Lytechinus pictus: one gene and its partner. The protein of the gene in region 2 interacts with the protein of the main gene of each other region in a biochemical or structural test. Links are inferred from orthologs where the notes say so. Each region holds a gene or a part of one and is shown on either strand. Other genes may lie near its edges.

Region 1 (7,523 bases), on a different chromosome or scaffold from region 2:
CATCAGCGATTATACGTGACATGCAACCTGTTGATTTTTGGTACAATTTCCTATTATGCGCCGGCGACTTGAATCTAGACTGTTCGATAGGAAAAATTCGCATATCGATCGTTGTTTGCATAATTTCCACCGCAGTATTAAGGATCGGATGGAGTAACTGGCTGAGATTTGGAGGTAAGCGTTTAAAATCCATTTCTATAGATAAGTTCGTGCTGATTTTTAAAATTAGATTACATTATAAATAATATAAGATTAAGATGACTAAATTTAGTAATAGTATATTGTGAAGATTTAGGCGTGTTTCATATTCTCACATTCGTGTGATGAACGAAAACGTCAAAATTCATTATGAAATGACATGCGTTGTGCGAGGTTAGTATACTAACCTCGCATGCTTGTGTGAGTGCGTTTTAGGGGCCTAAGACTAAGAGTAAGACTAAGTCTGAGACATGTTAATTGTTATTGTCATGATTGTTAAACCATAACATAATTTATAGGCTACCTTGCAAGATCAACCTGATTTTACTGACATGATTTCAATTTTTTTAGTAGATATGAAGCATTTATTTATGTTTTGATGATATAGAATTGATAAAATCTTTCTATTTTGAGGAAAAAAATAAAACTACCACAAATAAAAAAATGTCATTGTCAATCATTTGTAATTGTAATTGTAGTGTACCGTAGGCCTACATGTTTCCAGTGGAACTGGAAGTGATTTATATCAATGATTTAGAAAAAATCATAGAGATTAAAATCACGATTTCAATAATGATTTAAATCAACGTGATTTGAATCAGCCCATCCTGATGATGTTGAAATCTTGAGACATATTTTAGTCGGAATCGGAACGGCAACACCGTGCGCATTTTTGACCAACATAATTTGCAATGATGTGGGACTCACAGGAAAAAGCGGTGGCGGCTGAGCAGTGGGAGGTGGCAATGATTCTCCTCCTCTTCCTAATCCAAGGGCATCAGCAGCAAACGACGACCCTCGACCACGCCCGCGACCTCGACCTCTTCCAGCCATAATGAAGTAGCACTGGTTTGTTGTTTTAAAAGGAACTTAAACTTAAAACAATAAATAAGTTCTTCCTCTAACCCACTTGAAAGTATGGTGTCTTTAAAAATAAAATTGGTATTAACTTGAATTGAATTTAAATAAATGTGACTAGAGCTATAAGGGGATGGAAATATATATTTTGGCAATTTTATGAAATAATAAATAAAATCAGAATGATACGTTGAGATATTGCTTAATATTACACGTATGTGTGAAAATGAGCTATATGGACATGTTTGGTATAAATCTAGAACTACTCCCACCCCATCCGTGATCCTGATGATGATGATGATGGTGATGATGATGATGATGATGGCGATGATGACGATGATGATAATAATAATAATGATAATAATTATAATAAATGAATAGATAAATAAATAAAGATGATAACAATTTAATGATGATGAGGATAATAAGCAAACAAACATGTAAATGAATGGAATCGATGAATAGATAAAAATCCAATTGCTATACGTAGAGACAAGCTTAATTTTACTTTTATTTTATAGACAGGTATAATTGCCCCTTATTAATAAAAAAAAATCCCATTGCTATACGTAGACAAGCTTATAATTTGACTTTTATTTTATAGACTAGCTGCCCCGGCCTTTATTCCAAACCAATTAACTCCTTCTGTATATCCTTATAAAATTATTTCGGTACTTTTCTCTGCTGTGTGTATCGATTGTGAGGGTCTGTGAATAGTTCCAGTGTGTATACCGTCAAGCCAGTGGAGTGGCACCCTCCGGGTAAAAAAAAATGGAGCCTATATACACCCTACACCCGACAACACCCTAGCTCTCTTATTTCTCTCGTATACTGGTAACCTATAGCGTTCTGTGTCAGGCTTTTATTATTTCTGTGCTTTTGTTTTGTTTTTACTAGGGTTTTTACCTCCTGCGCTTAGTGTAGTACCTCATCCATACCAGACCCCTCTATATATATACATCATGATCCCGCCCTCTATCCTACTCCCTTCCTTTTTATAATAGCTTTCACCACTTTCACCACCACAAATATATTGCAGTACATGACAAAAAACTTATTTAAGGGAACAATCCCTTCAAACTGTTCATGTGACAACTCACTGTCGGTTGACGCGCAGCAGCTTTTTCAGTAAAAGAGTGATCCAATAATCTTGGAATAGTTTGCCTGCAACACTATGTCCTCCAGTATTAACTCATTTAAACACGGATTAGATTCTTTTTGGTCATGCATTACATTTGAAATTGTCTTACATCCACGCCCGCACTGTACTTAATTGTTAGACTTTTAATTATGCATCAAGCGTTTACGACCGGGAGATCTACAGGGCTATATACCTACCCTCCCGTACAGATGATGATGATGATTAAAGGGGTGTTTTTTAGTTTTGGACGCGGGCCGCGTGTACATGCACTCATTAAAAAAACACCGCGATAAAAAAAAAAAAAAAAAACGGTGGTTTATATGGTCACTGGTCAATCACAGGGTCAAACGTACAGGGTATGTTTTTTTTTATAAACTATATAGCCATACGTGTTTAGGGTACGTATTTTTGCCCCCAAGCTTTTTTGCGACAACAATACATGTATATAGGGGCCAAAATAACTTTGCCCGCGAAAAACTTGTTATGGTGATTATTTGCACACAGAAAAAAACTCATTTAGGAGGTGTTTGGAAATAATTTAGTTACCCATGTGTACAGCAGTACATTTCAGGGGCCGCGGAAAGGTTTTCAAAGTGGGGGGGGGGGGGCTGATGACCATGCAAAAAGTCCCATTATATCGAGGTTTTTTACCTGACTACTAAGAAAGCACGAATGCCTGTGAGCAAGCAACCAGGGGACCGACAGCTTAAGGTCCTCTCCGAGGGACATGGTAATGAGGATAAATTCCTTACCTTCTCAGTTCAAAACAATTTGGATTTGTATCAGGACGATCAACAATGTTACAATTACTCAATGTGTTAAATGATTGGACGAATATGTTGGAGGTTGGTGGTGCAGTTGATGTCATCTACCTAGATTTCATGAAAGCCTTTGATAAGGTCCCACGTACACCAGAGACTTTTAGCCAAAATTGAGGGATTTGGCATATCTATAGCTCATATGTAAGTGGGTCAGAGGTCTTTTCTTGTTGGTCGACAGCACCGAGTTTGTGTGAATGGTGTGTTCTCTGACTGGGCTGATGTAACCAGCGGAATACAGCAAGGGAGTGTCCTCGGACCCCTGCTTTTTGTAATGTACATTAATGATTTACCGGATCAGATTTCGTCAAGTACTGTTAGTTTATTTGCAGATGACACCAAGTTATACAAGCATGCATGTTAATAATGACAGAGATGCTGAGTTATTACAAGCGGACTTAGATCGTCTTGTGTCATGGTCAGACAAGTGGCTATTAAAGTTCCACCCGGATAAATGTTGTGTACTTACTATTGGTACAAAGAATGATGAATTCAATGAATATACTATGACACATGATAATGCTTCACATAATCTATCACAAGTTGAAACTAGTAAAGATTTAGGAGTGATTGTCGACACAAAGCTTAGTTTTGACCAGCACTTTCAGTCAAAGATAAATAAAGCCAATAGGCTTATGAATCTAATTAGGAGAACATTTGTTTATTATCTTCACAAGGAGAACCTCCTACTCCTATACAAAGCATTGATTAGACCTCACTTGGAGTATGCTCATGCAGTATGGAGTCCATACTTAAAGAAACATATTCAAGCAATAGAAAATGTACAAAGAAGGGCCACTAAGTTGGTACCTGAAGTAAAGAACCTTCCATATGAACAAAGATTGATTCAACTAAAACTTCCTACATTAGCATATCGCCGTGCGCGAGGAGATATGATCGAAACATACAAGTTATTTCACAGGTATGACCAAGAGGTAGTGCCAGATTTGGGCCAGGTGCATGGGCCTACCAGAGGTCATGATAAGAAATTGTACATTCCGAGGTCAGTAACTGAGAAACGTAAGAATTCTTTTTACATAAGAATGAGGAAACCTTGGAATAGCCTAAGTAATGAATTACTAATGCACCCAGTGTCCACAGCTTCGAGAATGGACTGGATAAGTATTGGAAATGTGAACCTGTGAAGTACAAGTTTGACGCTGACCCACCAGGACATGCCGGCCAACCTAAAGAGGAGACAGAATTTGGAACTGAATATAGAGTCTTAGACTGCGTTCAGAAGCATCCATAAGTATCCATATAAGTAAGTAAGTAAGTAAAGCCAAGGGCACTAGCACAATCATATGGTCGTCATTTTTACGTTTTTGTACACGGTTTTTGAAAAAAGAGGGGGGGGGGGGGCTGAAGCCCCCCAGCCCCCCGCTTCCGCGGCCCCTGTATTTTGACTGCCCCCGGGAGTTTTGCCAATGATTTACCGTATTCGGCGTTGGTAATCGACTATGAGATTTAAAAAAAAGATTTAAAAAATCATGTGATAGCAAAGACACCATACCCAGTGGCATTGCGTGAAGACTGAAGCTCTGTAAAATTTACTTTTTGCGTGAGTTATTGACGAGTCCTGATCACTGTACATCTATTTTTGTGTGGTAAGATAGCCGGATATGAACTAATTTGAGTAGTTCTTTTTAAATAATAAACCATATGGGAGTTTACTATAGGAAATTATTCACTCTTTCCATTCTATCCAGTTACTGCGAAGTTAACATCGCATCCCTCAAACAGCCGGTGATTTCGATCGTGTGCTATCCGAACACATGTATCAAGGAATCGTGATATCATCCATTTCTTTGTGTGCGTAATATATTGCACGTGTTGCCGATAGTTGTGGTGTCCCCTGTGCACTCATTCGAATGAGGTCTCGTGTTTTGAAGGATGTCGCCTGCGCCTGTTTGACATCTAATGTTAGACAGACTAGTAGTGTTGTAACCCGCACCCGTTGCGGTACGGGTTAACCTGCCGGTATGCACCCCATCGCGGATTGCGGGCCGGGCCGAGTTCATTCTCAAACCCGCAGACCGTCATACGAAAAAAAGGGAGAAGTAACGACGCATAATAAAAACATTAACAATGAAAATTGAATTAGGATCATGTGCTTCTTACGTAGCGGATTCTTTTAGAGACGTAGATATTTCCTTTTTTAAAAATGCCGGCGTATTTTTGTCCTGTGAACAGTGAACAGGACTGAGACAGTTCGACATAATATTAATAAAATACATCGAGTTGCTCTTTCAAAGGAGCGCCAGTGCAGTGCAGCGCAGTCAGAGAAAGGAATGTTTTACGACTGGCAGAGGGGGAGAGAGATAGAGAGAGAGGGGAGGGGATGTGTTCGGAGAATGTGAACAGAAGCCAGAATACATTGCGTAATCATGTCTGGCAAGGAGCGAGTGATAGGCCACGTGGCAGAGAAAGAAATGCTTTATGACTTGGAGTGGGGCGAGTCGAGCCTGTTTCCACGGCAACGCTCGCTGTTTGAGCTCGAGGGATTTGCGGTGCACGGCAGTGAGACAGTTGTTTGCTTATTGGATTACCAAATTAGGTCATGACCTGATAGAGCGTGCCGTCAGGTCAGAGTGTTAGCTGCCCTTTTTTGAAGACACGCTAAGCTGGTCTAGTCTAACCCTCCTTTTCGTTATTTCATACATTTTCTGATGAAAACTGAAGCCCCCGCACTCTTAATTTTTCCGATGTACAATTGATTGAAAGTCTTTAAGATTTCTGAAGATGTAAAATGGGATTGCAATGGATTGCAAGTTTCTTGCAAATACCTCTCTCTTGACCGATCGATCGAGAGAGATAAAAAATAAAAAATAAATAAAAGCCTAGCTAAGCTAGCTAAGCACTAGTAACACGAGCTGTTTACGTAAGTTCATGGGCGCCCTCGTGCACGTTTGTATTTAGTACAAAGAATTGGAAGAAATACAAAAACAGAAGGAAATAATATATATACAAGAAGAAAAAATTACTGTATCATTATCCTGGTATTTATTTCAATTTTGATTACTTTATAGACGAGGTCCCATAGAATTGAATATTGTAATTATGATTGTTGTGAGTCGCCGTGTCGACCGACCTGGACTGAAAAACAACATTGCCGATCTTTGCTGGGCAGCCTGGGCTAGCTAGCGCGCGCTGAGCTGCGGCTCCAATCAGAGGAGTTAATTGCGTAATGCTTTCAATTTCGAGATCAGAGCGGACCCATTTCGTGGTACAAAGTCACCCCAAAAAACATTTTCTCTCCGGAATTAAAGGCGAATTTGCAAATTGTAAGTAAATTCACTCTAGGCTAGGTTAGTAGTTGGCATATATTTTCCTGATTTGAGCCTGTATAGTGTAGGGATTGCAGAAATAATATATTTTTCAAAGATAAATTGACTTGCGGGTTAAAACCCGACGGGTCAGCGGGTCCCGCTTGCAAATTATTGGATTATACGGGACGGTACGCTTCTGGTTTTCACTTGCGGGTTACAACATTAAGACAGACACCTACTGTCCTTACTGATCCTAGTTATGATTCTGTTTGTTTATGAGAATAGAAACTTCCACAATTTATTCGAAAGAGTTCCATATGCACCCCCCCACCAAATTACAAAAGAGTTGATATAAATGATAGGGTGTTTGAAGCCACACCGAAAAGTGTCAGCATAAAACAGGCTGATTTAGGGGAAAATATGGCACATTTTTTCGGGAAGTTCAGGCTGCTAGAAAAATGTGATCTGAATTGATTATTAACATGTGTTTGGCATGTATGGAAAGAGAAAATTCAGGGGCTTCTTTTGACAGTAAGGACATCGACAAGTTTATATGATCATTTTAAATAAGGATTTATAGATAAATTGCAAACCCTTAGGCCTAACTTAGGCTTATTTGTGTGTGTGTTGAGATTGCCATTTCCCCATGCGTTTTCTACAGGAAAATGAAACGTCTGTTCTGCACAATTTAGTTCACTTTGTCGCAATTTTTCATTGTAATCTGGTTTCCAAATCTTTATAAAAATGATACCATCCATCAGAAAGAGCATAAAAAATCATATTGGGCTCTTTATGGACAAGTTTTTGGCATTAATGATAAATTCATAACAGTTCTCGGAAGCTAAAAATTTGGAATTGTGTGTGTCCATTTCTTAACTACACAGTCTATGGCAGAGAAATGCTGAAAATTGACCTAATTTCATTCTTTTTTGCAGCCAATAATTGATTTTTTTTTCAAAAATGTTACATTTCTGTCAGTCTGAACTCTGAAGGTCATTTCTCTTCAAATTCACAAAGAAAATGTGATATTTTCTTGAAATAAGAAAAATAATTTTTTTCTCCAGACACCCAATTGTTGTTACTTCCGGTTCGCTCAGATTTTTCTATCATTTTTTTTTTACTGTTGCTTACCTTAGTTGGGACTCGAACTCACCTGGTTTTTATCTGCAGTCTAGACTCTTCCCGCAATGCTAGCGAGAAGCGCTGGAAGGGGTATTTTAACGATTATCAGCGCAGCGG
Region 2 (7,532 bases):
GGCTCTTAAGTATATTTTATTCTTTAAATTATTTTTTTCTTAATTAAAAATAGAGATTGAAAAATAAAAAATTTCTTGCCATATTACTTTCAACCAATAGAGGGCGTACACAAAAATATGCCCCAAATTCAATTTTTTGAGTGCTCTGGTGAATACAAAAATTATTCCTAAGTTACTAATGAAAAATAAATTGCAACTGTATGGAAATTAGTAATTTTGGTCACAAAAGTGATATTTTAATGATTTTTAAAGTGTGTGCTCTGTACAGCATTGGCATACCATAGTTAGGCACGGCCGTAGTCACTAGATGGCGCTGTCGCGGAAGTGCTCCAGGGGGGTGAAACTCCGCTTCTGCATCCGGTCAGAATTGAAGAAAATTTTGGAGGGTCAAAAGTGCACACTGCTCCCATTTTTCGTATACAAGCCTATGGACACCGCCACTGTTTTGGTACACCAGCGAAATGAAGGCGTGGTCACGGAACGTCCTTCGCGCATAGCGTAAAAATATGTAAATTAGTATTTTGTCACTAATTAGCATAATGCGCGACCTGATTAATAATCGTTTATGGTGTCTGTCAGTGATTACATCATGTCAGATCATTCGTTTTTTTCCTCCTCAGAGTTTTATTATTCATCTATTTTAATGATCTATTTGTTATTGCTTGTTACGATTATTACTGCATCTTTGCTTTGTTTTAGCTGCAAATGGCCAGGATCTTTGCTAAAAAATATTACAGAGGAGGTTCCCAAAGAAAATGTTGCCATATACGATGACATCTCTTTAAGTTTCTGGAGCCCTTTTTTCTTTTTATTGCAGAAAACGAAATGAACCTCTTTTCATAATATAAACAAAGATAATAACAAATCAAATTCTTTTCCATAATTGTAGTCTCCAATATAAGTCCTATTATGAATAGCAGTCCTCGGAGCACTTGATTTTAAATGGCGACTTCTATGTCAAACATCAATAATAATGACCTAGGTATATACCATATTTTAGGGGGGAGGGGGTTCTCAAAATTAAATAGGCAAGAGAGCAAACCGATCGTAGGCTATTTCTTTTTTATTTTCAACTGAAAATGAATCTGGTGTAATTTTCATTTGGAAAGAAAAAATACATTTTATATGCAGGTTTCAAAAATTTGGAGAAATAATTTGCCCCCCCCCCCCGTCATGAACAGTAAGGTCTTATGGTTGCTTCTTTCAAAACAAACTGAACTTTCACCCCCCCCCCCATCTCTCTCTCTTTCTGTCTGTCTCTCTCTCAGAAACTGACATAACTATATGCATACAAGCAAATAATCTCCTGTCATTTTACTTTCTTTCCCACTCTTATCCTTATTTTTCTTGAATAATATTTTAATTGACTGCTGTTTGATCTCATGTAACAGTGGTTCATTTCACATTTCAGTACAGTGCAACATCTTGTGCCATTTGTGCATAACAGCTCAGAAGCAATACATTATCACAATTAATTGATAAATGAAAATTACCAAGATAAAAAAATTCAATTCAAAATTAACATGTTTATTAAGGAATCCATTTTCTAAAACATTGACATTAACATAAAAATAATAATTAGCATCTACCAAGCATTAAATTGTATTTTAAAAAATGAAGGCAATGCATAGCTAAAAAGGGCTGTTACTGGGTAAGGGTAGTATGGGGTGGGTATATAAATGTACAAAAATAGGATTAAGTACATTTTTCTACATTGTACAATGTTTGTTAAAATTTCATTCAAAGGATCTCGATGAGCCTATAGTTAATATTCCATAAAAGAGCATAAAAACCTTTGATATTCGTTTATTTTCTTCCACAAAAGTTTATCACTAAAAAAAAATGGTAAATTCCTTTCAAATTTGCTGACAAGAAATAGTCTTCTGATGTGAGAGCACTCCTCATAAGGGGGGGGGGGGGGTGGGACACAATGCCAGAATCCTAAAGAGTGCCTTCCCCAATCAATACATTAGCGAATCATTAACAAAATTTGATTTGTCTACTGTCACTGTGCTTAGAATTCAATCTATTTTTGAAATATAGTCTATTTATATATTATTGCAGTGGTAGCCCATTTCACATTTTTTTAAAATGAAGATAACAATAAATGCAACTTAATAACCCTACATAATTTATGAAGACTTGCAGTGGCGTACCGTGGGTCACGGCATCGGGGGGGCACCAGCAAAAATTTTGAGACCGTTTCATATCTCTTCTTGGCACTTATGTTGTGATACCAGTACTTAAACAGCTTAGGAAGTGGGAAACCTGCATGGTAAAAAAGAGAAAAGAACATAATAAGCTGTAAATTATTTTTACTCATCTAGTCCAGTTTAGTAAAAAAAAGATGTAAACTCTATTTTATATCTTCAGTGATAAAACAAGTTTAGCACATGCAGTCACTTTCGTCCCACATCCAGATAAATTCATATATCAATATAACTATCTACAGTATGTTTTGAAAATAAAAAGTGAAAATTAATTCAAATATTTATCAGAATTTTGTGATAACTGTTAATATCTTGGGTTTTTTATGCAAATGCATGTATAGACAGGAGATATGGATAATTAGTATGCAGTGTTAGAAATGGAAATACTGGTGAATCTGAATTCAAACAAATATTAACTCACAATGGAACTTTAACATTACATGATATCGCATCATGTTTCAGCACAATTGGCCATAGCCCACCCCCTCCCAAAAAAGGGGAAATATTCATTTTTTTTTTTTTTTGGGGGGGGGGTGATGAGCTTAGATACAGCCTGTATATTATCAAAACAGTAAGCATACCTTGCAATTTTTCCATTCAGATATCCTGTTCCTCATTAGATTGTAACTAACACTTGCTGATCGGCATGGTTCTCAATTTTGTACTTCTGACTAGGTGTGAACTGCTAAGAACTTGGTCCCACTGGATCTGCAATTGACAATTTAAATTTGAGAGTTTTAGAGATAATAAAATTACTCTTCTTAAACAATATTTTTGAAATTTCCAGCTGCCCATATCCCAGGTCTATGAATGAATATTCCAAACTAGAACAAAAAAGTTATCTGGACCCGAAACTTCATTCTCTATCACATAGAGGCATAGGCCTACCTCACTCTGTTTATAAAAGTAAAATGATTCCAACCACATATTTCTACAGCTGTATATAGCTGAATCTGGTCTATGCTGGGCCTGTATAACTTAAGAATCACATCACATTTGAATGAAGTAAACACTAAGAACGTTTTCAAATTACCACCCCAGGCCGGACCCAGGGTATCCTGTTCAAATAGACTTGATTTAGGTCTAGGGTAGGCTACGCCATTTCATTCAAATCTAAGACTAAGACAAGTAACACTTATAACATAACAGACATTAATGCTAAGTCAATCGTATTTCAACACTGATTATTCTGAAGTAAAGCGTTCCTGAATAAAAGAAACTGCTGAGAATTATACTTATTCATATGAAGATGAAATAGAGGGGACGGACTAGGCCTAAACTTCAACTTTCAAGCTTGAAGTTTGGGCCTAGTCCGTCCCCGCTATTTTCATACCCCATGACTACATCGACAATCTCGCTCGGCTAGCACCGGCGATATCAAAGGCCGGATCCCGCTCTGACCATATCCCTACATTGACCTAAATTTGAATAGGCCTAAAATCGACAGTTTGTCGTTACTAAAAAACAGGAGGTCGGAAACAAGTCCACATCTACCCCTGATAATTGTCTAATCACAATAAAACTGAAATAAAGGTTTACTTTGGACCTACATGAAGCATTCCGATGAATGTCTAGATCTACGACAAACTATAGACCCCTAGACCCTAGTCCTAGATATAGTATTTTTGAGAAACTCAATGATCACACTTATTTGGAAGTCAGGCAAAAGAAATATTGAAATTGAGGTTTACATACGGTAGTGCGTAATACAGGATGAGCCCCGAACCCCGGCAAACACATTACAATTTGCAAGTGAGATCAAAACATGAAAATGAGCGTAACTTACTTTTATTCCTATGGAATGTCATTAGAATAGTATTGATGTTCCCTCCAAGATTTTCCGCTCCAATGAAGTTCACTCAGAAACCATGATTTCGAACATCAATTCTATAAACAGATAATTAGTCTAGCTATTTCGTTTCAGAAACTTCAAATTCGCAGAGTCCAAAAGAACGACACTTCGCACAGATATCGTAGGGAATTGTGGGACGGAAAAAAATGTTTAATGCATGAGTACATGAATAAAACATTAGCGTTTAATCCAATCATACAAGTGCATTATGCGTATTTTGACGTCATTCTCATGAATAAAACATTGACCCTCCAAAATCATCCTTCAAATTGTCCGCCGGCAGCCATGTTGGCTATGTACAAAACCTATGGGAAATAAAAACGCGCGGAAAGAGTTCCCTCTCTAGCTCCCTTCGGGAGCTTATACGTAAGATCGTATCTCTGTGAAGTGCTCAAAATTTGTACGCAAGCTTCGTTCGCATGTCAATCATTGCAATCGCATAGCGATGCGATATCGTCAAAATTAAGCCCCTGTTAGCGCGGATGTGTATGATATTTTCTCTTTGTGATTGTCCTCCCGTGCGATGAAAAATATGTCATCGTATTGCACAGGACTTTCGCGAGCTACCGATACCATTTTCGTGCCCCAAATTCCATGAAATCTTCCGAAAATAAACATGAAAGTGTCGGTAAGTCGAAAATGTCTTGAGTTGCTTTCAATTCTTACCTTATTTAGTTGTATTTCTTGTAAAATGGGTCTCGAAGGGTTCCGGATTTTCCGTTGATTGTGAAACTTGAGTTGATTTCCTTTCTGTGTATTGCAGTGAAATTGCAGCGCGGGGAATCGCAAGGGCTGGGGAAGCCCTTCTCAGTGAGGTTTGCAAGCTGAGCTGTCCTTGAATTTGGTCGAATTTCGAGCCATTTTAATCGCGCGCGGGATGATTAATTTACATCATAATAGAGATTAAGATTACGTCACGTACGTGCGTACCTGTGATAGACACAGAAATGAAATTGAACTTGAATCACACGGAATCACAGTCAAGAAATGCTTTGTTTTCTTCGTTTGCTGAATGATTTCCTGAATTTAAAATCATGAATAAACACCAGAGTAATGACATGAATAAGATAATCATGGTCATATTTGAGAAATAACTAAATATTTTCTGAAAACGAGTGAAGACGATGGGGTATTGATGTGCATGCACTGGAAAATGAACATTCACTGTCAGTGTCAGTGCCGTGGTGTCAGTGTTTTACTGCCAATACTGGCTTTACTTTTGCACTGGTTTTTCTTTTGCCAACTACCGGTACTAGATTAAAAACTCATTTATTGATATGTTTATTGCAATTTTTGAATAAATGGTAATACAAAGTGGGAAAAAAAAGATAAATGAAGATAAAAATAATTTTGACTAAAAACTTGTCATGCCATCACCCCCCCCCCTAAAAAAAATACCCACTATCTTGAATGACTCAGGTAATTTAATTTGTATTGAAAAAAATAAACAATTGTATTTATGCATTTTATATTTCTGATTCTTTCTGCCAGAATACCAGATGCCATCATGAATAACCTCACCACCAGGTTGAACTCCTAAACATCTTGATGATGACTATCTCCCGAGATATATCTTGCCTTCTTGAGATTGGAAGTTTTAAGTTCAAGTCAGAGCGACCTAAGGCCCTACTACCAAGAAGAATCCAGATTTACATTTAAAAAAATCCCACGAAAGATACAAACTGATTTTACTATTAATGTGTAGTGTGTGTGTGAGACACTGTTTGTGTTTATTTTGATGAGGATCTCCTGTCTCTTTTTATTATTTCATTGACTGAATGAATGATCAATACCTAAAAGTGAGAACTGATTTTTGAGGAGAGTAGATAAGTGTATGGTTTTGAGTGAATTTGAGTAACTTTTGTTTTTACCGGTACCGGTATTTTTTTCATCATTATTATTATTTTGCCTTTTATTACATATTTTCAGTTTATTTAACATTAAGTTTAAGTAACCAAACTTGATCAAAGTGTTCAATTTTTGGGATAGAATTTTGTAATTTCATTTATCAGGTAATAAAACTGAGTTTGGTAAATCTAAAAAAGGACACTAAAAATATGAACACTTGGAGATGCTCACTAAGATGAGGAAAAAACATGAAAGGAACTGGAACTTAAGTGGATGTTATAGCATGCCTTTTGAAGATCTCCAAGCACCTGGAATCATAGGCGGTGGAAGTGGGGGGGGGGGGACGTATCCCACTAAATTTTAGGTGGGGAGGGGACGACCCCCCCCCTCAATTTTTTGTTGATAACCTTTTTTTTTTTTTTTTTTTTTTTGGCTTGTCAATTTTCACTTGTTTCCTGTGTCCCCCCCCCCTAAGATTTTTGGTCACTATTTTTTTTTTTTTTTGTCAAAAAGTTTTGGCGGTTCCCCCCTAAAATTTTTGGCTTCCGCCGCCAATGCCAGGAATGATGATGTTCAACTGAGAGTCGCTGAAGTGGAACTTGTTGCAGAGAATGATTATTCCAGGACAAGTTAGATGATATTACCCAGCCCATACATCACAACAATGGAAGGGAGACAATATACCCCTGTACTACGTGAAGTATCATATTATCTTCAGGTTGGTTTGGAAAGTAATAATAGTCCTCTAGTCAATATTAACGTCTGTCCAACATAATGGTACTATCGAGCAATTTGGGGGTTCAATCACAAACAGCAAAAGTTTAGTAAATTGACACTAGTAAGATAATTAAACAAATATAATACAGCCAAACTGTCTGACCCCTTACTTGACTACTGACTTAACTACTTATTAAAAAATGACAAGTGATGCTCAGGCCCTTTGTAACCATTGTATTGGGCAGACTTTGAAGCAGATGACTAGAATTCATACTTTCATGAAGATGAAGGAAGATCAAAAGAATTATTACAATTTAGCAAATATGAAATTAGAACACTGTCATGGTTATAAAAAATAATGAATTTCTATCCAGTAAAATGACAATACAATGTAAGAAATAAGTGCAATCAAGTAATTTCATTTGCAAAAGATATTTTCCATAATTTAATAACCAAATTTCTCAAGATAATATTCTTCTGCACAGAAGTGTATGACACGCTCAGTGTAAATCATGCTGTTTATAAATCTCTAGGAAACCTTTTTTTTCAAAATGAAAATACATGTAAACTTAATAAAAACCAGGGGTGGATCCAGGATTTATCCTGGGGGGGGGGGCCACATTTTCATGATGAAAATTTGTCAAGCAAAAAAAGGGCCTTGCTTTCCGGGGGGGGGGGGGGGGGGCATACTTTGGTGAAAATGGCATATTTTCATTACAAATCTCGACTGAGGCTCTCTAAGGGGGGGGGGGGGTGAGCCAGATGTGCCCTCCCCCAGATCCACCAGTGATAAAAATCAACATTTGTGAAAGATGGCATACGTACCTTATACTGAATTGGTAAATTCAATGCATATGTCTACAAAATGAAACTGACATGTTTGAATAAATTGCTTATTTTTGTTT

What was found. The genes of interacting proteins can lie anywhere in the genome.
Region 1: the proteins of prolyl hydroxylase EGLN3-like (region 2) and peptidyl-prolyl cis-trans isomerase FKBP8-like form a complex in vitro, tested with the Homo sapiens proteins (2 studies listed by BioGRID, with this or other methods). The link is inferred for Lytechinus pictus from reciprocal best matches to the Homo sapiens genes EGLN1 and FKBP8.

Annotation. Positions count from the first base shown.
Region 1 is NC_087249.1:25,195,671-25,203,193, forward strand, and holds the start of peptidyl-prolyl cis-trans isomerase FKBP8-like, read left to right. Parts: upstream 1-4,492; 5' UTR 4,493-4,622; intron 4,623-4,706; coding exon of another isoform or gene 4,707-4,715; exon of another isoform or gene 4,716-4,730; intron 4,731-7,523. Other genes in the region: DNA-directed RNA polymerase III subunit RPC7-like, read right to left, coding at 907-1,032. UniProt on the Homo sapiens protein: Constitutively inactive PPiase, which becomes active when bound to calmodulin and calcium. Seems to act as a chaperone for BCL2, targets it to the mitochondria and modulates its phosphorylation state.
Region 2 is NC_087251.1:25,490,743-25,498,274, forward strand, and holds the start of prolyl hydroxylase EGLN3-like, read left to right. Parts: upstream 1-4,465; 5' UTR 4,466-4,690; intron 4,691-5,204; exon of another isoform or gene 5,205-5,553; 5' UTR 5,554-5,589; exon of another isoform or gene 5,590-5,861; intron 5,862-6,423; 5' UTR 6,424-7,532. UniProt on the Homo sapiens protein: Cellular oxygen sensor that catalyzes, under normoxic conditions, the post-translational formation of 4-hydroxyproline in hypoxia-inducible factor (HIF) alpha proteins.